Linked DNA regions of Coturnix japonica. The protein of the gene in region 2 binds, or shares a complex with, the protein of the main gene of each other region. Links are inferred from orthologs where the notes say so. Each region holds a gene or a part of one and is shown on either strand. Other genes may lie near its edges. The genes, in order: NTRK2 and FRS2.

Region 1 (11,313 bases), on a different chromosome or scaffold from region 2:
ACTCTTTTCTAAATTTTACCAGTCTCAGTTTTCAGTTTTTTTCTAATTGCCACACATATGTAAGGCTAAGCACATATGTGAGCATAATGCACAGAATGCCCACTGAAATTAGTATAGCATTAGATGGTTCACACTTTGAAATATATTTGTATTATATCTCAACGTACCCACTCATCCTGGTCTATAAAATTATGTAGTAGGCTCCTAATCATCTCTTCTGTATACTCACTCTTTGTTGTTTTGGAAATAAAATTAGCAGATGGTTAAAACCCCTAAAGATGAATCAAACTTCAAAAGGCATAATTCTTATAATGTGCAGTAATTCCACACCAGTGGCATTACACTGGCATAAAGCCACTGTCAAGTATGACTAGAACATTGTTGCTTATGCTTATGTCAGCACAACGTGACAATCTGTGCTGAAAATACAAAACAAAGAGTTGCAAACTATTAGTAGAATGGCAGCAGATAATAAGGTTTCCCTTTAAATGCATTTGAAAATATTCTACATTGATCACTCTGAAAGTAATACCACCTATTTATTTCCATGGAAACTACAACATACAAAGACCACAGTAACACTGTTTGATAGAGCTACAAAATATTATCCTTCAACATAGTCACTAACATTAGCTATTCATTAGTCTGCATGCCACACTCATCAAAGTCTACACCAGTGGAGGTGATCCACTGTTGCTGTTGCTGAACCACAACACCCATCACCTCACTGTGCTCACTGTGTTCACATCCACTTGCTCTCCGTAAACATTCAACAAGCACCAGTGAATGTGACTGCACCTCTGCTGCCATCCATCAGACAGCAACAAAGTGTTAGGAAATATTGTTAGGAAGGTTCAACCCCTACTGCCATACCACTAACATCTGCCTCTGACATCATGGGACAGCAAAATAAAATAGGAGGCATTACTTTCAGATCAGCTCTGTTAGTCTCCAGATACATAGCCTAATAGACCCCATAAGAACTGCTGTGAAAATAAGCAGAAACAAGTGTCAAGTGAAAACAGCCTGTCTGTGCTCAAGCACCTTCTGACCAAGGTTTTCCTTCCATAGTTAATGGATTCAATTTTTCCACTGTAAAACATCTGATAAAAGATGGTATTCCTAATTTATTTTGGTAATCTGAAGGAAAAATAACAACAGTGACAAAACTCCAAGGCCTTTATTTCCTGAGTTACATAGCAACATTTTTGTTACTATTTACAGGAATGGGGCTGAAGCTGTCAGACTAGTTTAACCCTTAATTCCTGCCAGGAACATTCAAGCTAGGAAGTCATTGACTCCATTCAATACCTTTTATATAACTAAATACTTCAAATAAAGTTGCAAAAATCAAGATGCTGGACCAATCCCAAGTTTCTCTTTAGTATTTCCTATGTAAAAACACGTCTTCTCAATCATCAGAACATCGGTTTTAACATTAAACTTCACCACAGTAATTTTGCACATTTACATGCAATTCATTATTTTTAAGGCAAACAGAGAACAACATAGTTGTTTTGATCCCTGTTAGAACAGGCTGTTGCAAATAAACTATTAGTGATCTATGTTATTCACTTGCATTCATGAAGTACATCAACTGCACTTTGCTTTTGTGTTTCTTTCTTTATGAAACTGACATTTTCAAAATAAAGCAGCAGCAAAAGACTCAATCCAAAAACATACTTTTGCAAAACAGACCCATGTTATTATGCCACATAAGCAAGATGCTACTTCTAAGGCATATTTAACATATTCTTTTACTTTGACAAGGTAATACGTGACTTGAATTCCTCTAGCTGAATTTTACTGTATAGGGTTGGTAGATGAATAAGGTTTCTTAAAAACAATTATTCTTGGTAAAATTCTCTCCAGCACTCAGAAGATGTTTTGGATCAACTTTGGCAACAGCTCTCAGAATAAAACATGAGTGTTTCCTGCCTACCATTTGCCATAATGTGTTCTCAAATAAGCAAGTTATCCTCAGCAAAAACAGCTACTCTGGAGTTCAAGAATTTTAGCAGATTAAAATTAGTTAAGAATCTAGCAAGCAAAGCTTGAAATTTCTCCTTCCAGACTTCAGTGTCTAAAGCAAAATTTTAATTTACAGCATTAACTGTAATGCCATTAACACAATCAAGCTTCACAGTGGTATTTCCTCCCCTCTCTTTTATGTGCACTGTTGATGCTAGCAATAAGCTTTAGACTTAGTTAGGTTTATTTTAGGTAGATTATCAGTGAGGGTTTTTTAAAATATTTTTATTTTTTTACCACAGTGCATTTGCCTGTAAGTAATGTTAATAACCAGAGAATCAGTTCAAAGCTCAGTGAGGGAGCCCCACCCCATGAAACATCAGGGTTGGTATTTAATTCAGTCATGAAGGCATGGAATTGAACATAATACCAGGGAGTGGGCCTTAATTTTCATACTTCATTGTACAATATGTGGGCCAAAAGAAGAAACTACACAGTAACGACAGCACTGAAAAAGTATTTTAAGGGTTTTGAAAAATCCCGACAGAGCTTTGAATAGTAATAGTAAATAATAATAACAATACTATGCATGGAGGATTTTCTTATTTTAGCCTTTGTTTTTATGACAGCTTCAGTAGGTGAGACAACAATGTAGTGAAATATTAGAAAGCTCAATGTCATTATCACAGAAAAAATGTCCTCTAACAAGACCAATATTGAGAAAGCTAACTAGATAAGCAATTTCGCTGTTAATTTTTAAGACTGGTTTGGAGAAATCAACCATGCATGATCTGATTTCTAATGCAGGTATGTCCTGTCGGTAAGTAGTTTAGTCTTCTCATACTGTTTTTGTGAAGCTTAATCCATCACAGAGCTTGGAAATGCTGAAAACCACAGCACAGATTATCTTGGAGACCTAAATTCCCTAGGAGTGTAAAAACAATGGAGTAAACAATAATACTATCTTTCTAATTGGGAAGATGCCTCCTGCTCTGTTTATTGATTTTAAAGGCTGGGAAATCTTCACTGTAAAGGAGAGAAGCACAAAAGCAAAACAGAACAGTAAGAGGGATATGGATCAAAGTCAAAAAATGATAAATTATTACAAGTGTATTAGAGGAACTGTTATTCTGTTAAGAAAATGAAGCCAGGTTCATAATAAATAGAGCGTGACAGAGCTTCCATTGCACAGAGAACATGGAGAAGGTGAACTGAGTTACTGAGCTGTTACAGCACAGTATCAGAGGATGCCAGTAGCTGGAATCATGGCATGTTCTTGTAATTAGTCTATTTAAGGAAGATCTGCAGAGAAGAAAGATAGGTCTAAAGACAGAAGGAGTAAAGAGGACCTGGCTATATTTGCTCTTCACCTTCTCTTTCTAAAGGGAAAAGAAGAGGACCTGCTACATTTTGCCCTGTAGCAGATTGAGCCGTTAGGTGCAAACACTAAGTACAGACCATATTTTTACTGTCTCTAGCCTGCCTGCCCTGCTGGAGAGAGAATTCACATCTTCTTCTGTCAGATAACACTGGCACTGCACATAGCTGTTTCAGAAAAGAAGGCTTTTCATATTCTGTGATTAAAAAGTCAAGGGTACACATATGCTCATATTTTCATATATGACTGTGCAATTATTTGCACTAAAACATGCCTGTATTTCACTCCTGCTGTGCATAGTCCACTCAGAGGTTCTTATAGATAGAATAATGAATTTGCACGTATGTCTTCATTCTCTTACAGGCACTTCACATACAGTTTTGAAGATGTGGGGAAATATCACACCACAAAGAACACCAATCACTGCCAGCAGTCCCTACAGTTCATTGAGTTAGTCTACCTTGAGCCCAATTATATACAGCTCAGGAGGGTTGAGGCAGAGCTTCTGGAGCAGAAGATGCACATAATTAACATTAACCATTTTGAGCACAGATATTCATAGCCACACAGGTTTCCAACCTCGGCTGAAACGAATGAGAATTTGACACCTAAATGCCTGTGACGACTTGAGACTTCCACCATCCCACCTCAGGATTGTTTTCTCTCCAGCTCCCTCTGGTGTCCTAAATAATCAGTTATTATCAACTCAGAGGACTGCAACAGTGATTTTGCCGTAATTACACTAGACACTATATGGGCACCCTGTGTCCTTTAATACACTGCATAGCTGAATTCAAACACGGTGTAAAACACTTGTGGAGTGCCAGAACTGGCACTCCATGCTTTCCAGGATCAGAACAGAGGCTTCAAAAAACACTTGAGAAGCAGCCACGTTTCTCAAGCCTCAGCTGGCAATGAAGAGGTAACCCAAAGGAAGACTTTAGAGAGCAGTAGCAGTCTCCACAGTCTCCACAGTTAAAGAAAAACATTACTTCACAATGGATTTTGAAGACATTTATCCACAGGAAAAAAACAAAACAAAAAAAACCAAAACACCAAAAAAAAAACAAAACACCAAAAACTTGCTAGAAGCACATTCTTATCAGTTTACAATGGCTAACATTAAAAGAATCATACTCACCATCTCCAGGCACTGACATGAAATGTGCGTCAACCCGTTTTTCATCCTCTCCATATTCATTCTTGGCCAATAAGGTATAAGCACCATTATTCAGGTGGGTAGGGTTGTCCAGCTGAAGGCAGCCGTGATATTCACTTTGATTGATAACATGTATTTTAGTACAGATGTATTCAGACTCATTCAATATAGCTCCTTCATAGAACCACTGCAATGTGGGCTTAGGATTCCCTTTCACAGTGAATGGAATGCACCAGTGGTGGTCCGGGGTTGGAGATTCAATAAATGTAATATTTGGTGCAACTATATTGGAAAAAAAGAGTCAACAACATCAGAATATCTGGAACTTGTCTTTTCCCCATTCCCTTAAGTCATATTTTTCATTCACAAGTATCACAGGAAGTAACTTGCAGGAATGATACCTATTCACATCACATTCAAACAGGACACTCATCAGCTCTGTGTAGGTTACTATGATTACAACTGAAACAAAGCCATTTTTCAAAAAAGAAAAACTAACTATTTTATCTGAAGACTGAACACCAGTTAGATCCCATACCTGCCAGGTGTGGGAAATTCAGTTTATGGAGAAGGAGAAAAGAGCAATTTTAGCTTTACTCTGCAGAAGAAAATGGTACAGAACAGGGCTGACTGAACAGAACAGCATTGGAAATATGTAAAAGTTGGCCCAAAGCAAGCAGTACTGGAAATATCCTCTGCCAGGAATCCAAACTTTCAGATGATTTCCCTCACAGAATCAAAGCCAGTACAGATGACTTCATTCCCTGGATTATTCTGTCAGGGAATGACCATTTTCTACTACACATTTTCTCATTCTTTATTCAAACCTGCTAAATGTCTCAACTTTACAAACTTGTTCTGTCTCCCTCAGGAGACTATTACAGCACCTTGCTTTTTATTTCACTATTGGGAAATTTTCCTTGATATTTATTCTTAACTGCATCCAATTTCATCTGGTTACATTCTTTTTTATCACTCATAACAGTGCCAAGCTTAGAATCTCATTTACACTGTTGAAACATTTCTAGTTTATGTTTCTTCCCATAGCTATTACATATCCAATTTCAACTTACAAGACATTTGAAGTACATCTATAGTGATTTTTTTTCTAATTTTCTCTGTCATGAACACATACTGAGCAATGTTTGCCATCTACAGAGAGTTCTGTTCCCATCTTCAATTAAACAGAGGGTTGCAACTTGTGAAAAAAAAATGATGTCTAGTTTGCACAAAATGAAATCAGGCTGGGATTTTTGATTAAAGCAGCCAGTTTCTCCATATCACATTCTCCTTACCCCGTCTTTGGCCCTGACAAAAAGTACATTATTCAAGCCATGACAAATAAATTTACATCTGGCAGTACAAACATTTCAAATGCATTATTTTCTGAACAAAGCAGTTGTTGCTCTAGATTATACAAACTTTAACATTTGCAGTCTCTTATGGTTAATTCTATGCATTCACACTTCTTAATTCCTAAGATAGTGTATATGTATATGCACACCACTACAAAACTTCCCACACTGGCAGTGGTTTTTAAACCACTGTTTACAGATTAACCTCTCTGAAGATAAAGCATTTGGAAATGTATTTTTGCAGAAGACAAACTCAGCAACTTCTGGCTGGGCTGTTCCCAGTACTAATGGCAGTAGGTTGTTCACATGCTTAAATGGTGCTCCTGTTTTAGCAACCTGTGCACCCCAAAGACATCTATACCCAAAAGAGCTGTTGCTGATGGGGTTTGGCCTGCTGCATGAGGGCCTGGGTACGTACAGAATACCGTCAGTTCGGCAGAGGTTTGGACCTCTCCCACAATGTTCTCCGCCACACACGAAATCCACAGTCCGCTGTCCATGGATGAAACATTCTTTATGGTTAACGAGGCAGGATTCTTACTTGTGTCACTCTACAAATGATCAGAAAAACATGCATGTATCAACTGCAGTCTAAAGAAACAAGAGAAAGGCAGGGAATCGCTGGCCACAGCTCAACAGCATTTTTTGCTTTCTTTTCTCCTTAGTTCTATCAATCTGTAAAATGCTACTTTGGCATCCTATCCAGCTAACATAAAACACGGAACCAATTGAAACTATCAGGGGCTGAAGTTTGAAAAGTGCAGTCATGCAGTAAACTCTGCACTCACCCACTTCTCTGTCCTGTCCCTGACAGTTCCTGCCTTTTCTGAACTCTTCTTCCCCTCTAGACAAATGTTTTCTTCTTCACTCATAGCCTTGTTCATCCCTCTCTTCCACTTCATGACTGATATCTATGGTATGTTCCTTCGCTTGAACTTTTTCTTCCTCCTTCCTTCTCTATCCTTGCTTTACTCTTTCTTTGGTCTCCTCGCACTTGTGTGACATTTCTTCTACTGCTGTGTTCTGAGCTCTGCTAAACCACAGTGTGTCTTCCCTCATCCCTTCCCTCGCCAAACTTCTCTTAAAATCTTCTTCCTCTCATAAAACAATTCATGAGAAATGACATACTTTCTAACACTTAAACTACTGCCCAAGTACTGTTTTATGTGTTTACATACTAAGGCTAATTAAAGTAAGAATTATAATTCTTAAAAATCTTGATTATTGTGATTCTTAGAAAGTTTACAGCATGTTTATAGCCTGAATGCTGTATTAAATATGCAGCTATGCTGCATTTCACAAAGTGAACAGGACTGCACTATAAAAAAATAGTAGCTAGCAAAACTAGTTGTCAAAGACAAGGTTTTCTTAAAAAAGGTCATTCACATGATCTCCAAATAATTACTATTTCCACACTTGAATATTTCATGAAATGCAAAGCTACTTCCTTAAAAATGAATAGAATCAAAACACATTTAGAGAATAAGAAATAACTTGTATTCTTTTTTTAAAAAAACTCCTTTTGAGGTACTTTTCTCAGTGTACACATACACGTCAGTGCTGCACAAACAGATAATGCACCTGTAAAAGCAGTGACTTTCAGCAGCAGTCAGTGGGGATGCACATGAATTGTTCTGCATACAGAACTAGAACTTTGAACCCTGAAGTGACACCTTAACCCCATATGAGTTAAATGCTCCACTGATATCAGTGTGACAGTGTGGGAGGCAGAGTGGAAAAGCCAACAGCTCACTGTACATTTCTCCACATGCAGCTCTCAGAGATGAGCAGCACTAAAAGGAAGATTCAGAGAAGGGGCTCCAAACACAGATTGATGGCTGAAATCTATAGCAAAAAATCAGCATAGAAGCTGAGAATGTGGTTTAACTCTGCAAGAATAAGGTACAATTTTAGCTTTTGTTAACATTCCTCTCTGTAAGACACAAAAGAGAGAAAAAGCAGGCAAAAACAGCATAGGAGGTGAAGAAAAGGGAGGCAGAAACACAAATACAAAAGTGAGAGGAATGAAACAAAAACAACACTCACAGAAAAGGGAAGGATAGGTTCAAATGAGAAATGAGGTTTAAAAGGCACTCATTCTTCCGCTACTGAAAAGACTACTGTGCTCCACAGCTAAAGTTGCAGCTAGGCTATGCCATGAGCCCCTCTGAAATCTCACACACAAAGTTATGCCAGGACAGAGTATTTCTGGAAACCTTGAAGCAAACTGAACTCGGCATTTCAAAGATAGGAGGATAAAAAATGAAGTGATCTCACTTCTTGAACAGCATCCCACATTTGTTTTGGCTCATAATTTTAAAAAAAAAAAAAAAAAAAAAAAAAAAGAGAGAAAGAGAAAGAAAAAGAAAAAGAAATAGAGAAAGAGAAAGAGAAAGAAAAAGAAAAAGAAATAGAGAAAGAGAAAGAAAAAGAAAAAGAAAAAGAAAAAGAAAAAGAAAAAGAAAAAGAAAAAGAAAAAGAAAAAGAAAAAGAAAAAGAAAAAGAGAAACAGACAAAGAAAAACAGACAAAGAAAAACAAAGAAAAAGTACAGCTTGGCATAGGTTCCCCAAACGGTTCTAATTTGTTGTCCTTTATGACAACTGGTGCCTTTGGGTAGTTTAACAGATTAGAGGAAAATTTAAAAATAAAACTAGAACTCTGCAGAATTCTTACTCATGAAAGCTGAAAGACACACTGGTCAAACCCTATGCAGACCAAATATAATGATATCAAAGCAGAAAGTGCAAAGATTAAAAGTTCCTAGAGGTTCTGGCACTTCTACACTACAGAAACAGTTTTAGAAGTATACACCTCACACTTTGCACATACTGGAAATATTCAGACCATCTGCATACTTGTGGACACCAGGATACCAATGGCAGAGAAGTGTAAATAACAGAAGGCCTTATCCGTGAAAATTATTGCAATTTAAGGGGTCAGCAACTGTATGTAGAAGACACTGCTCCTCATCAGTTTCTCCATCAGAACAAATTGTCAGTCTCCACTGCACACACAGTCCAAGACAAGGACACAGAACATAAAGATCATAGAAAACAAAATTCTCGCTGCCTGAATGACTTTGTTGAGGGACTGTCTTCACACTTCATAAGAAAATGCCATTTTGTTAGTAGCCTTTCAATTAACTTTTAGTCACCTTGACTTCCAAGACATCATTGTTGTTTTGTTTTGTTGAAGAAAAATGAAACAAAACACAAAATAATACTGACAATCAAAACTGTCAAATCAACAGGTAATCTGGTCACCAGGGTTTTGGCTTGAGAATGCAATACAGTTAGCAAGACAAAGCCTTTTTCATGATTAGGATATGTCAGATTTATTTTCTCTGTGTAGGTGCTGAGAAAGCACTTTTGTTTCAGTATCCTTATTCACTGTATAACCTCCAAGAAATCACAGTACTCTCATTTACAAATCTCAAGGAGCAAATGTTTGACATTTTCCAGAATCAGTGCAGCAGTTGGCCTGGGTGAAAAGTTACTGGAAAATAAATGTTATCCCAACATTAATCTTCATCTTTTTGATAAGAAATTAATTGAAGCTGGACATGAACCTTCATTCCATTTACAAACAGATATCTCTTCTCTCTGAACAGTCACCTCTTTTTATATGAAACTTACCTCATGGTTTGAAACAAGATTAGTGAGCACCCAGGACACGTTAGGGGGTGGCCCTCCTGTTGTATCACAATACAGCGTGATGCTCTTTCCTTCCACCACAGTGATGTTGTAATTGCTTAAGTTTGCTGAGGGTAAGTCTACGACAGAAACAACAAAAAAATACACACATGCATTTGCGTCTGACAGAAATAGATGCTGTTCATTTCTATAAAAACTCTGCAAGTGCACACGTCACTAAACTAGATATTCACTGTGGCTAGTTGCCCACAGTTCAGTCAGGGAGTCCAAATAGCATCTCTGGAAACAAATAACAATCTTTAAATTGCTACATAACATTTTTCTGCACTGCCTCCACTTTGCATTTTAAGGAAACATACCTTTCAGCTAATTTTAAGAGAAAATGATTCAGGTGGGTAAATAGAATTTACCTTCAGTTTTTAACTTAAAAATAACCATTCTCCCACTCATTTGCTAAAACCAGAAATTTAATCTAACTCTCTGTTACAGTTCCAAAGGAATCTTTGTTTTTGTTTTCCAGGATCTAACTGGCACTGTGGTGCTCTCACTACTCTCCACAGCACCAAGAGTAAAATCCCACCAGCCCAAAGTTTCACACAAGAGATTGCAGCCTTCCCTCTCATGCAAAGTTCACAGAAAGCACAACAAAGCCCAAGTATGAAGTGAGGGAAACAAAGCACTGAACAGATGAAACTAGAGAGAAAGGTCAGAAGTGTGGGTTGGCTATTGTACAGAGCTGCTGTATGAGGCACTCCAGCAGACAGCTGGTGCCCTCAGGAAAGCAAAAAAGCAGTATGATGGTACCAGGGAAACAGCCTAGACTTTGTAAGATCTAGGACTTCCCCTCCATCTCATAACTATAGACCACTTCACACCTCCATCTTTAGCGCCCAAAGCAATGGGAACTTTCAGAAGAATAATATATGTAATACGTGATGAGCATATCGAAACACACAAGGAATAATAGATCAACCACCTTCAAAAATAATGCCAGCAGTATCTGGCATTCTAGAACACAGGAGTGTCTTCTAGCACACAGGAACTCAATTGTCACATATTTCTTTACAAGGCAAATAATCATTCCTCATGCTAGAAACATCAGATCTTCCGTAGCTCATTCTATGCCTTTCCATGGAGCTATGCACTGTCCAAAGCCTTGCCCTCATTTATGAGGCATCATCTATCAGCCATTCCAGGCAAGTTTTAACCAGAGTTTATGATCTCAAATAACCTAACTTGTCTTCTATGCTCAGTGTGTATGCATGATCTTGCAACTACTATTCCTAAAACAACAGTCCTCTTTGTTTTATTTTATTTTCCTCACCTCTCTTGTAAATTAGAAAACTGTACTTTTATCACAGACTTGCAGGTATAAAAGTTTAAAGAGGAGCTGCTTTATGTATGTAAAAAGTCCCAAACAAAAAATTAACAGTCTTATTAGTGTGACATTTTAATATGTTTACTTAAACTTCAATAGAACTTACATGTACTGGAAATCTCAGGTTTAATTAGTTCATTAAAAATGAAATGAGAGGAACCAATAGCATAGAGAAGACTAATTGTTTTCCAAGCAGTTTTCTTGCCTATTAAGATCAGCACAAGTGTGCAATAACTTCTTAGACACTTCTACTTCTTTAAGCAGTAATATGATTCTCATTACATGCAACATGAATTTCTTCTGTTATGATCACTTTACAAATCATATGTTGAAGTTTACTGAGACAAAGCTGGACAAATTGTATGTTTTGATGCAGTGATCTGTTAGCGAAGGTAGCCATCTGCTCTCGCCTGCTGT
Region 2 (12,048 bases):
AGTGCTGGTAATCTTGTATTAAACAGAAACCATTGCCTATGCTGTATTCATAAACCAAGTTTATGCTGTTTTCTAGCTGTAGCCATACAGCTGATCCCCGCAGAGATATCACAACACTTTCCGCTCCATTCAGTCATCCCTTCAAAATAATTCCTGATATTTTTTTCTTTACTTGGGGCTGGCAATGAAGTTTCCAAAGAACCATCTACAGAGACACCTAAGAACTCCTTCCTCTGCAATAGTATCACTTGTAGAACTACACACTCATAATTAAGACTGGCTTTGCTCGTACGCATCTCTTTGCATTTACTGAGACTGAATTTCAGCCTCTAGTTTCACACCCAAGCTCAGCAGGATGGGATCCTTCCAAAGCTCCTCTCTGTCAACTTTATGTTCCTCTACTATAAGGCATTCTGCATCAGCAGCAAACTGTGCTGCTTCCTTACTCGCTCTCCTTCCAAGACCATTTTGAACATGCCAACCAGTGCAGGTCCCAGCACGAATCCTTGTGGGAGTCTGATCGTACCTTTCCCGCAGTGTAAAAAATGACTATTTACTGCTTCCCGTTAACTCTTCTCCTTCAGCTGGTTACCAATCCACAAGGCAGCCCTCCCTCTGAACCCACGACTGCTAGTTTTCTTTAGCAGCATTGGCGTGGAACTGTGCCAAAAGCTCTTTTGAAGTCACTTTATCACCCTGGTTTATCAGTTTGTTCATTTTGTCAAAGGGCTTCATAATGACAAAGCTTTTTCTGTCTACAAAAAACCATGTTGATTTTTCCACGGTCTGACGTGTCTGGCTATATGCCAGAGCCTCACCCCAGCTCCCTGTCACTGATCTGCTGCTTTGACCTGAGACAAAACTACATCACTAAGAAGGTCTCCAATACTGAAAGTGAACATTAATGATCCTTAAACACTCACCCAGCTGCTTTCCAGCCATGAGGTGCTTACATTCCACGAATTCTCATTTCAGTGACTGCTTCAGTATGTACTTCCCAGCAACCCAATCCTGCTCCTAAGGGTCTGGCATAGTCACAACCGGATAATGTCATTGGGTAGGTTTAAGGAAGCAGTAATAACTGTATAGTTGTTATAGCAGGTGAAGGAAAATATGAGCTGATATTTTCACAGCTAGAGGATGAAACCAAACCCCGGTAGCCTAAGTTTTGTGTTTTCTAATTATCAAACCATAGGAAAAGGAAGGTTTCTCCTACCCCTCAAATCCATGTCTCGTATAAAGGAGTACCCATAAACACCTAATGTGCTGAAGTGAACTCCACCCTATGCAATGCAGCTCTTTGCTACTCAGTTTTACTTTTGAGGGTATCAAGAAAGACACTGTAAACGTTGCAGCTGTACTTACCAGTCCATTCTGCATTGAAACACCTCCCTTACAGTGAAGTTGGTAAAATGGACCATTTGTCAGCATCTTCACCGTGAGTTTGCAGTGTGGTCCTAACCCAGAGTTCACAGACTCCCAAATTAGCAGCTAAGGCAAACGTGCACTGTCCCTCTGCCAGTTTTCCAGGAGCAGCCACCGTACCTGCTCACGGGATGCAACAGAGCACTATATTCCAAGATTCCTTGGCACTGAATCCAAGTGCTGTGCCTGAAGTCACACAAACGTCATCAGTCTCTTGCAGGGAGAAGCTGAGCCAGCTTCTTGTTTGGATCCCATGTGATCCCATTCCTCCAGCTGCCTTCACCACATTCCATGTGGGAAACATGGACTGAGACCCACCAACTCCACTAAGAAGGACAATCTTTTAATGATCAGTGCCACAACACTGAGCTACGCAGCACCAAGGCCCCCCCACACCTCGCCCATGCTCCCCTGTAAGTAACATGCAGCGATAACTCTTCCACTGGAAGACAGAATGCAGAAATAATCCCACTAATGCTAATGACATATCAACTAATACAATGACAAATGCCCTAAGAATACCAAAGTAGTTACTCACTGAACGAATAAATAAATAAGGCAAAGGGCACATGCTGCATGCAGAGATTTAAAATAACCAGCTGCCTTTTCCTGTGAGAGGCATCCATTCCATGTCCTGATTGAGGAAAGGTTTCCAAACTGCAAAAACTGAGCGTTATTACATGTGGTTAATTCCCTCTGCTTCGTGCTCACAAAGGAGCCCATTTGCAGTTGCACAAGTTGCCTCATTTTTAAAAGTCTGACATTGTGTTGATGCTCTTCAAATGCTGTTTTGTACAAACTTCATAGTTAAATGTGCACATCTCTGAGGCCCTGAAACTCTGCAGCACCATGGGGGGATTGAAGGGCATAGCAGCAGTCTTCACACGGAATTTCCTTGCTTTCATCTGACAAAATCTGTTCTCAAATGTTATTGCGACATAGTGTAGCTTTTTTTTTTTGGCTTGAATTAGATTTACATCCCAGTTGGTTATCGTGGACTAGTTGGAAACAGCCGTGCACACATTCTGCAGTCAGCACATTGGTGCTGCTCCTTGGGAAGCAGCCAGCAAGAAGTTACAGGAGCTGCATGTGGCAGCCTTTGTTGGGGGGAAATGAAAACAGTTCAATTCAGTTAAGCAGAACGTTCACTTGTGAAGCAAGCTGAATTTGTAGAACTTGGGAGGCCCAAGAGGCAGCTTCACTCACAGTAATAATGTCTTTGAGACTTCCAGTGTTCAAATGGGCAAGGGACTAAGTATCCAGCATCTGAAGGAGGAAAACACATAAAATCTCAGCCATCAAGCTTAGCCTAAAATAAGGTCAGAGAAAATACCTGAGATGAAAATTATGCTTTTGCTACTCACTGGGATTGTTTGCTCTGGAGGAAGAAGGCTCAAAGGAGAGCAGATCATTCTCCACTATGACCTGAAAGGAGGTTGTGCCAAGGTGGGGGGCGGCCTCTTCTTCCATGTAACAGCAGTAGGATGAGAGGGAATGGTCTCCTGTTGTGCCAGCGGAGGTTCAAGTTTGGTATTCTCCAAAAGAGCATTGAACCAGGCTGCCCAGGGAGGTGGTGAGTCAGCATCCATGGAGGTGTTCAAGAAAAGAGTGAACGTGGCACTGAGGATCATGGTTTAGTCAGCATGGTGGTGCTGGGATTTCATGAGCTTAGTGGTCTTTTCCAACTGTAATGATTCTATGATTCTGTGAAATTGTATAGATCAATACACACAGCAAGTGTCATCTCCATCACAGCACATTACTTAGAGCTCATGTATCCTCTAACCATATCAGAGGTACATAGAGGTACAAGTGTACAAGATGAAGCCAATCTGAGGAAAAACCCACTGCAATACCAACAATGATCTGTGTAATTCCTACCCCACTCTTCCCCAGATGTGACAGGAATAAGTACAGAAGATCTGTCAGATTCCAGCAGTCACTTCAGGAGGGGTTTCATTGTGTGAATTAAACTGTACAGAAGCAATGTCTTTCTTTCTTTCTTTCTTTCTTTCTTTCTTTCTTTCTTTCTTTCTTTCTTTCTTTCTTTCTTTCTTTCTTTCTTTCTTTCTTTCTTTCTTATCCTTCTTTCCTTCCTTCCTTCCTTCCTTCCTTCCTTCCTTCCTTCCTTCCTTCCTTCCTTCCTTCCTTCCTTTTTCCTTTTCTTCTTCCTTCCTTCCTTCCTTCCTTCCTTCCTTCCTTCCTTCCTTCCCCTTCCTTCCTCTTCCTTTCTTCCTTCCTTTTCCTTCCTTCCTTACCCCTTCCTTCTCCTTCCTTCCTTCCTTCCTCCTTCACTTCCTTCCTTTCTTTCCTCTCTCTTTCTTTTTCCTTTCTTTCTCTTTCTTTTCTTCTTTCTTTCTTTCTCTTTCTTTCTTTCTTTCTTTCTTTCTTTCTTTCTTTCTTTTCTTTCTTTTTTCTTTCTTTTTTTCTTTCTTTCTTTCTTTTTTCTTTCTTTCTTTTTCTTTCTTTCTTTCTTTCTTTCTTTCTTTCTTTCTTCCCTCTCCTTCCCTTCCCTCCCTTCCCTTCCCTCCCTTCCTCCCTTCCTTTCTTCCCTTCGCTCCTTCTCTTCCCTTCCCTGCCTCCCTTCCCTTCTTCCCTTCCCTTCCTTCCTTCCTTTCCTTCCCTTCCCTTCCTTCCTTCCCCCCTCCCCTTCCCTTCCCTTCCCTTCCCTTCCCTTCCCTTTCTTTCTCTCTCTCTCTCTCTCTCTCTTTCATTTTTAACTGAAATGTTGACAATGTAACTAATGATGAAATTATTAATGAAGCAGTGAGCCACTGGTTTAAATTATTGGCTCAGTTTCATTCTTCTGAAAAAAAAAAATAGTATGAACTCCCTGGGGATAGGATTTTTTCTGAAGAAGAGCAGATCGGGCCATAAGAGGCTGCTACATGGCCATTACTGTATGCAAGGGCTTTGTTTGACTGTGAAAACAACAACTTCTTGATTTGACATACAAAGGGTCATTCTACTTAGCATGCCACACATGAGGAGAGGCAGAATGTGACCAGTGTTGCTCTGTTCAGCTAACACAATAAGTCCCGCTCTCTCTCTTTATAAATCTGTTTTCCAGCTCCTGAAATGTTTGCTATAGAGTTTTTTGTTTTTTTGGTTTTTAATAAGTTTTTGTTAGTGTCAAATGGACTTTGGAACTGATAGAATAAAACTCCACTCCTAGGTAGCATCTTACAACAGAGAAAGAGAGCGAGATGCTGTACCACACTTCAGCCAGGAACATGCTTTTGCTGCTGAGTCACAAACCCTGAAAGGAACCATTATATAACAGCCCTCACCTACAGCTGAGTTAGGTGGTGCCTGTTATGTTTCAGTGTGTAGCTGAAACATTTAGGATGGAAACTGGTATCCATCTCCAAGGCTTTGATCAGTATTGATGCTGAAGTGTACACAACTCTTGCTGATCAGAAAGGGCTGCCCACTAGAGGAGACGTGAAATGGGATGGAATCCAAAGGACACTCCAGAAATGCAATCTGGCATTCCATCCCCTCAGAGTTCCTTCTTTGTCAGACCCAGGAGTTAAGAATATGAGTAAGGCAAAACTTTATTAATGAGATAAATCTACTGATAACAGTTCACATACGGTTGGGCTGCTCTCTTGATTACAGAACTGAATAGTCTTTAATTTTTAAAGTAGCTTACAGGCAAGGGCAATAATCTAAGGCCAAATTCCATGATAAATCTTACAGTGTACAGAAGTTGTCTCTGCTTTCAAAGCTGATTAAAAGGAAGTTCCGAGTGATGTAGAACAGAACTGAAAATGCCATCAAAGAACTTGGAGGTGTTCAAGACCAGGTTGGACGGGGCCCTGGGCAACCTGATCTAGTAAAGGTGTATGTTTGGTGGCCCTGCCAGGCAGGGGGTTGGAACTACATGATCCTTGAGGTTCCTTCCAACCCGGGTCATTCTGTGATTCTGTGACTTAAAGCAACGTTGGTTCATAATTTGTAGACAGTTGCAAGCAGTCTTCAAAAGAATGGCATCTATAGCGCATCTCAATGGACGAGCAGTCATCTCAGTCTGGGATGATGAAAAATGACTGTAGATAGGACCAGCAACCAATAGAAGATGGAGAACTGAACTGTCAAAGAGACAACGGACATTCACGTTCAACCGCTGACTACGAAGCCGCCTCGCCCCGTGTCCGCCGCGCCCGTCGGCCTGTGAGCCGGCACCGTCTGAGGGACCCACACGGAGCGGTGAGGAGCCCGAGCGGGGCTCGGCGGGGCCGTGCCGCCCCGGAAGGCGTTCCCGCCGTGCTCCGGAAGCTGTGCGGCTGAGTCCGGCCCAGAGCGAGGCCCTGTCGCCGCCGCTGTCGGGAGGCGCCGCCGTTCCCCGCCGCGGACGCGGGGCCGCCTCTCGCCCGTGGTAGGCGGCCCGGCCCCGGGCTCGGCGGCCGGCGCGGGCTCATGGCGGAGGTGGGTGCGGGCGCCGCTCCCGTCCCCGTCCCGGCCTCGCCTCGCGGGGCGCCCGGCCGGCTCCCCTCGCCCCTGCCCCGCGGCCGGGGCCGCGCTCCTTCCCCGCCGGAGTGTGCGGGGCCGGCGGGGCGACGCGGGCGGGCGGGACTGCGGCCGGGAACCGCGGGCGGGAGGGGACGGACGGAGGGAGCGGGGTCGGAACAAAAGCGGAGGCGGCCGGGCCGGGCTGGCGGTGGGGGCTGCCGGGGGCAGGAGCGGAATGCGGGAGCGGCCGTGCCCGCCCGGCCTGCACGGTGCCACGGGTCGGACATGGCCAGCTGTCAAGCTGGGCCGCTGCTCCCGGCTCTCTGCGATGTGGATGTGGGGGATCACGGAGGTCGGAAGGGGTTTGGGCACCGCTCTGCATCGGTTCTCTGCCCGAGCCGTGGTGAGACAGAGACGCTTTCTTGGCTTCATGGTCTCCGTGTCCTGCTCAGCATCAAAGCACGAGGGGTGGTGATGGTGAGAAGAGGTTAGGATGATGTTGGGCAGTTGGTAAGAGATGACACCGTGCTGTCTCTTAGCTTTTTATTTTACTTATAGTGCTAGTGACAAAGTGACATTTAGCATAATGAGAAAGCACAGCCGTATTGTATCTTGCTTTAACAGTGTTAGTGATAAATCATTCTGTATGATGACTCTCATTCAGTCCATACTGCTGGCTCTGCAGTACTTTTGTATTTAAAAGAACAAAAACCTAATTTCCCTAAGATTCATCTCTGCTTTAGAAGCGGGTCGATATGAAGAAACATTCAGATCCAGTAAATCCAGATTCAGATCTGTTTGTTTGTCTGGATCAGCAGAACTGCCAGCGAGGCTCCCTGGCTGTTTCCCTCAGTTTACAAGTGTGTCTGAGCAGCACAGCCATCCTGCGGGCGGTGTTGGAGCCTGCTTCAAGACAAATGTGCATTGATATCAGTGTGAGTCACCAGTTCAGGTCCAAAAATATTCCCTGCATCACAAATGGAAAGTGATTAAGAACGTTATTTCTTGACTGAGAAGCCCTGGGTTTATTTGCCTACGTATCAAGAATGCTTTGAAAATGCTTGTTGAAACAATGTCCCAGTGGTTGTATTTATATTTGGTTAAGCAGCTTTTTGCTCACTTTCCAGTTCAGTGTCTTGTCTCGAATGCTGGTGGTTGGCTGTAGTCAAAATTAATTGTTCACGATTCCCTTTTCAATCTACCAATGCAGTAATAAATGTAATTGCTTGTAGGTTTGCAAGGTTATTTCTCGCAGTCAGTGTGCACTACTACTTATAATAATTTACTTCTCGAAGATCACCTTGAAAGCAGCGATGTCCATGCTTAGTAGGGGATCTGATCCTGCAGTCAGCACTATTCACTTCTATGAGCCCTGAGTCTCACAGTTTGAGCAGTACAGTTCTTTGAGTGGCGTCTGAAATTCATTCCTCAGCAGAGCGGTTTACAAGGCTGCTGACGTTTGAACTCCAAAAGAAATGTATTAGAATCATCACGCTGAGCTGCTGTGGCAAATTGAAATGTAAAATAGGGCGGTACACAGGTGCACTTTGCAGCATCAGCTGTGGATTAAGACTGGATGTTCTGCTTTCAGCCTGCCCCTGGTTACCCCTTGTGCTGGGAGTGCCAGCTTGTGGAGCTGGGCTGGTGACGGCAAGTGGCTTGTTCTGTAGGGTGCCCAGAGGAGCTGGGGATTCTCCATCCTTGAGGTGTTTGAAGCCAAGTTGGATGGGGCCCTGGGCAGCTGGATCTAGTGGATGGCAACCCTACCCACGTCAGGAGGTTGGATATGGATCGGTCCCTTCCAGCCCAAACCATTCTATGATTCGTTCTGTGTCTTTTGGTTGATGATGCTCTGGGCTGGATCCTTGTGAGGTAGGGACGGGGTGTTTTGTGAAAGTGGTGGTGGGACTCACGTGCTTGAGGGGAAGAGCAGGGCTGCCTGGGCCTTGACCTGTAGCCAGCACTGTGGGACTTCAGCTGGGACTCAACTACTTCGTGTGAATGTGTTGCTGTCATGGACCATCTCCACCACAGGAGGATACAGTTGGTCCTCTTTGCTCTCAAGCTCCTAGGCACAGGCCGGTGCCTGTGCAGCACTGGGTCGAGGTGCACCCAATGGGGTGTGAGGGGAACAGGTTGCTTCTGGCAATGGGGATGAGTTGTGCCAGCCTGGAGTGTGCTTGATCCTGGCTGACTTTGGTGAAGCTGAGCTTGGGTTGAGCACGGAGGGTCTGGATGCATCGTTTGGTTGTGGTTTGTCAGCATGCTTAAAATCTGAGATCCTTTAATCTGTGGCAGTGCGACTATGATTTCAGTGTGCATTTTGAAGGGATTTTAAGTGAGGAGTCTTATAACTGCTGTTCATCTGTCGGATTTTTGAGACAATGAATTTGTTGTGTGTGTGCATTGAGCTTTTAAACATAAAGACTGAGAAAAGAAGATAGTTACCAGTATGTGCAAAGAAACCTGCGTGATGTTCTGCAATAATAAGTAAATTGAATGACGGTAACAACAAAGGATGAAAATGCTGAGGCTGACCTGAGACTTAATGCTGTTGGCTTCAGACAGTTGAAAACTGCTGTCCAGAGGTGTAATTCCATGCAGCATAGGCAGGTGTTTTATCAGTTGAGCAGAAGTGGTACAGGAGCAGGTATAACATAACAGACTTTGCCTCGTCCACTCTTAAGCATCGCTTTCTTTTTTCTTTCTGTTGTTGTTGTTGCCCTTTCTGTGTAATCAGAGCTATATGTAAACTTTCATTTCAGACCTGAACAGATTATAAACTGGTGTGTAGTTGTTCCTCATGTAAGTGTGTAAGCATCCGTTTGTGTGGGTGCGCATGTCAAGCATTCTCCATTAAAGCACTCTCTTCAGATTCCTCTTCACTGTCTCAGTCTGGGTGGCAGCAATCACAGCAGCTGATTGAGTTGGCTCTTTGTTAAAGCCCATTTTCCTGGAGCCATGTGATTCTCTAGAATTTCAGTCTTTCCCTCAGGCTTGAAATCGCTTTAATAAGAGAACTAATAGCTTTTCTTCTGATGTTTATACAACACAATGTCATGATTATTGCATGTTTGAGAATGACTGTATGTATTCTTTCCTAATTAGCGGAAGTGTTGTTGTGATTACTATTTCCTTCCCTTGTTTCTGAATCCTTTAGTTTCATGTCCTATTTGTTCTTCTGAAACGCTTTCGCATCCATCTGGAGTGCACTGAAGTTCTTGCCATGTGAGCTGTTCTTACTGTGCTGCTCACACTCAGGTGGCCCAGGATAATCCCCAAACTTTTCACCTGGATCTCAGTTGACAAGTCACAGAATCACAGAATTGTAGGGGTTGGAAGGGACCTCTAGAGATCATCGAGTCCAACCCCCCTGCCAAAGCAGGTTCCCTACACCACGTCACACAGGTAGGCGTCCAGGCGGGTCTTGAATATCTCCAGAGAAGGAGACTCCACCACCTCCCTGGGCAGCCTGTTCCAGTGCTCCGTCACCCTCACCATAAAGAAGTTCTGTGTTACATAATGTGTTCCTCTTGGTTACTGCAAGCAGAACGTGGTTGCACATGCTGTTGCCACCATGGCTGCCTTTGCTTTAACTTGTAGAATCTACCACAGTTAGCAGAGCTGCCACCTCCTCTTGCAGAACCTCATTTCCTTCCTTTTGCTGTAAAGCTTCTCATCCAGTGCTGGCTGTTGGTAGGAATACCTCTGCATTGGTAGGTTATTGAACTGAGATTTCACCAAAGGTCTCAGAAGTATGTTCTTACATCAAAGCCACTCTTGGGTATTTCTTGCTTTACTGCTTTTTTGTTGTACACCTTTTCCATTCAGGCAGTTCTGATTCAGAAATCTTATACATGAGATGCTTGTGAGGATTACTGGGCAATTGGCATATCTGGAAAAGTGAGAGGAGTTCTGCTCTGTGCTCTGAATATGGAAGAGACTGGGTCTCCGTTAGCACTTCGAGTCAGAGGATCAGACTTCTTTCCCTTGGCTTCTCTTCCTAATGATTTTGGTCCTGGCAGCGTTGAGATGCTGCTGTTGTCATCACTATGGTGGTGACGGTTGCTGTAAACCACTGACCCGTTACTGTGTGCTGACTCAGTGGTGAAAAGTTGCTTTAATTTCCTGCCTTCACAAGGAGAAAATAGACCCTCTGTGCAGCGTGCTGGTACCTGAATTCCCGTATTTCTGGTGGAAGGTGCAAAACGTCATCAAACAGGTCCACTGAATTCCTGCAACCACAAAGTGGCTCTTACCTGCCAGGATTTTCCTCCGCACATCAGACAGTTGTCTTGCAGGCAGATTTTCTTTGGACTGAGATATTACCTTGTGCATTAACGTGACATTTGCATGACGTACAGATGGGGACATCGCAGCGTTACTGTAAGGCAGTCAGTAAAAACGATCGTGGTAACGCTGTGTTTGTTATCTAAACATTGGAAAGATCACCAATATGAGATGGAAAATATAAAATTCTTATAGGCTTTTGTCGTATTTCTGAGACAGAACGTGTTGGTTTCATAATTCGTCAGATATTTGGCAGGCAGAGAGTTGACTTGTTTTGCTGTTCCTTAGCATATGATGCCATCTTTTCCCCAAGCGGAGATGTTGAAGCAGCAGCTTTACATGGGGAACTCCCACTGTCTTCTGCAGAAAAAACAAACTCTGGTTTACATAGAAGCTTTGAGTGAAAAGTGAATGATCTAGAGCAAACTGTATTCCATTGTGATAGCAGCGTCTCTTCTGCTGAGCTTTTCTGAGGTGACAACAGCAGCTTTTTACATAGTTGTGCAGCACAAACAGAGCTGACTGTGCAGCAGTTATCCTTCAGACGTTGACATTTTTCAGTCTATTTATGAGCATCAACAAACGCTGTGTGCATACTTTTGCCATGCATTGAATGCTTCTATTTTCCTTTAATTTAGCTTAAAACTAGTAATGGAATTCCTGAGGTTTTGAAAGGAATAGCTCTTGGCAAGCACAGGGCTTTGAAACCAAAGGCAAGTTAAGATACCAAGCAAACACGGGGAGGGCTGCTTCTCCAGGGACGTTTGTTACGAGTATTCTGACGTCTTGGAGACTGCAAGTTGGATTTGGTTTTTGCACACACACCCTGTCTCTTTGTTTTTGTATATTTGTTATTGTTGTTTTGTTTAATTATTAAGATACTGAAACTCACGTTAATCCTTGCTGTCACCCAGGAGGTTTAGCCTTTTCAACTAGCCATTAGAAGCAGGGGGTATAATGCTCCTCTTAGGTTTTGCCTTGTATCTGACTGTATTTTTTTCCTAAATTCAAGCACTGTTTAAAGCGTGTAATTAGATGAATAATTTCATTTAAAATAAAATAAACCTTTCCTTTTAAGTGACTGCAGTAATTGTACCAGGAATAGTTATCACACATCTCTCAGGTGGGATGGTAACAGACCAAGCTCGTATTTACATTTCCCAAGTGCAGTTATGCTTTTAGCATAAGAGCTAAGAGCCGCTGTAGTTTGGTGGGAGTAGGAGAAGACAGGACATGTGGAAGGTTGCTGGGGTGCCGAGGCCTTGTCCCTCCTTGGGAACAAGGGGCCTGCAGTGCTGCTTGCTGTGGGCATCTTCTGTCCTCCTGTGATCCTGGCATGTGCAGAATTTATGGGAAGGTTGCATCTTATCTCCTTGATTTAGCTTACCACATTTCTTTGTGGAGCTTCGTGGCTCTGTATGCCTTCATTCAGCCCTGCGTTTCCTTGCAGTGCTTCTTATTATCATAAACATTTTGAATGCCTCGGAGTTCATTATCATCCCTCTCTAACTTAACTCATTTGCTCTCTGCAGTGCTGCTGACAGCACTGTAATCCTCTGTCGCCCAGGGCAGTAGTTAGGGAGTTGCCCTCTTTTTTTCCCCTTCTCCTTCAATCCGCAGTCAGATTTAATTCCTATCCTTCTTCCTTATCCAAACAGCATCTCCCAAGATTACATCTTCTTTTTTGGCCTTAACAAACCTGTATCTGTATCTCCTCCCTCCTCTCTTGAAACTCACATCTCTGCCATCGGTGTAAGGTGCAGCTGGGAAGATGTTTCAATAGTCTGCCTGTCTGCTGGTTTCCTTCATCAAGTCTGTGTTAGTTGTCTTTGAGTCTGAACAGTCTGCATCTTGTCTTTCCACATCATGCTCTCCCCT

The links.
Region 1: the proteins of FRS2 (region 2) and NTRK2 are in contact, whole or in part, in an NMR structure (PDB 2MFQ), measured with the Homo sapiens proteins. The link is inferred for Coturnix japonica from reciprocal best matches to the Homo sapiens genes FRS2 and NTRK2. Residues at the interface, in NP_001036020.1 of Homo sapiens: Val26, Asp27, Asp28, Asp29, Gly30, Tyr59, Leu60, Cys61, Leu62, Arg63, Arg64, Tyr65, Gly66, Tyr67, Asp68, Ser69, Asn70, Leu71, Phe72, Ser73, Gly77, Arg78, Ile86, Ala88, Lys90, Phe98, Gln102, Met105, Gln106, Ser109; in NP_001018074.1 of Homo sapiens: Pro498, Asp499, Val501, Ile503, Gly504, Met505, Thr506, Lys507, Ile508, Pro509, Val510, Ile511, Glu512, Asn513, Pro514, Gln515, Tyr516, Gly518, Ile519.

What each region holds. Positions count from the first base shown.
Region 1 is NC_029547.1:36,495,043-36,506,355, reverse strand, and holds part of NTRK2 (BDNF/NT-3 growth factors receptor), read right to left. Parts: intron 9,638-11,313; coding exon 9,501-9,637; intron 6,415-9,500; coding exon 6,282-6,414; intron 4,791-6,281; coding exon 4,491-4,790; intron 1-4,490. UniProt on the Homo sapiens protein: Receptor tyrosine kinase involved in the development and the maturation of the central and the peripheral nervous systems through regulation of neuron survival, proliferation, migration, differentiation, and synapse formation and plasticity.
Region 2 is NC_029516.1:32,154,263-32,166,310, forward strand, and holds the start of FRS2 (fibroblast growth factor receptor substrate 2), read left to right. Parts: upstream 1-5,710; 5' UTR 5,711-5,856; intron 5,857-12,048. UniProt on the Homo sapiens protein: Adapter protein that links activated FGR and NGF receptors to downstream signaling pathways.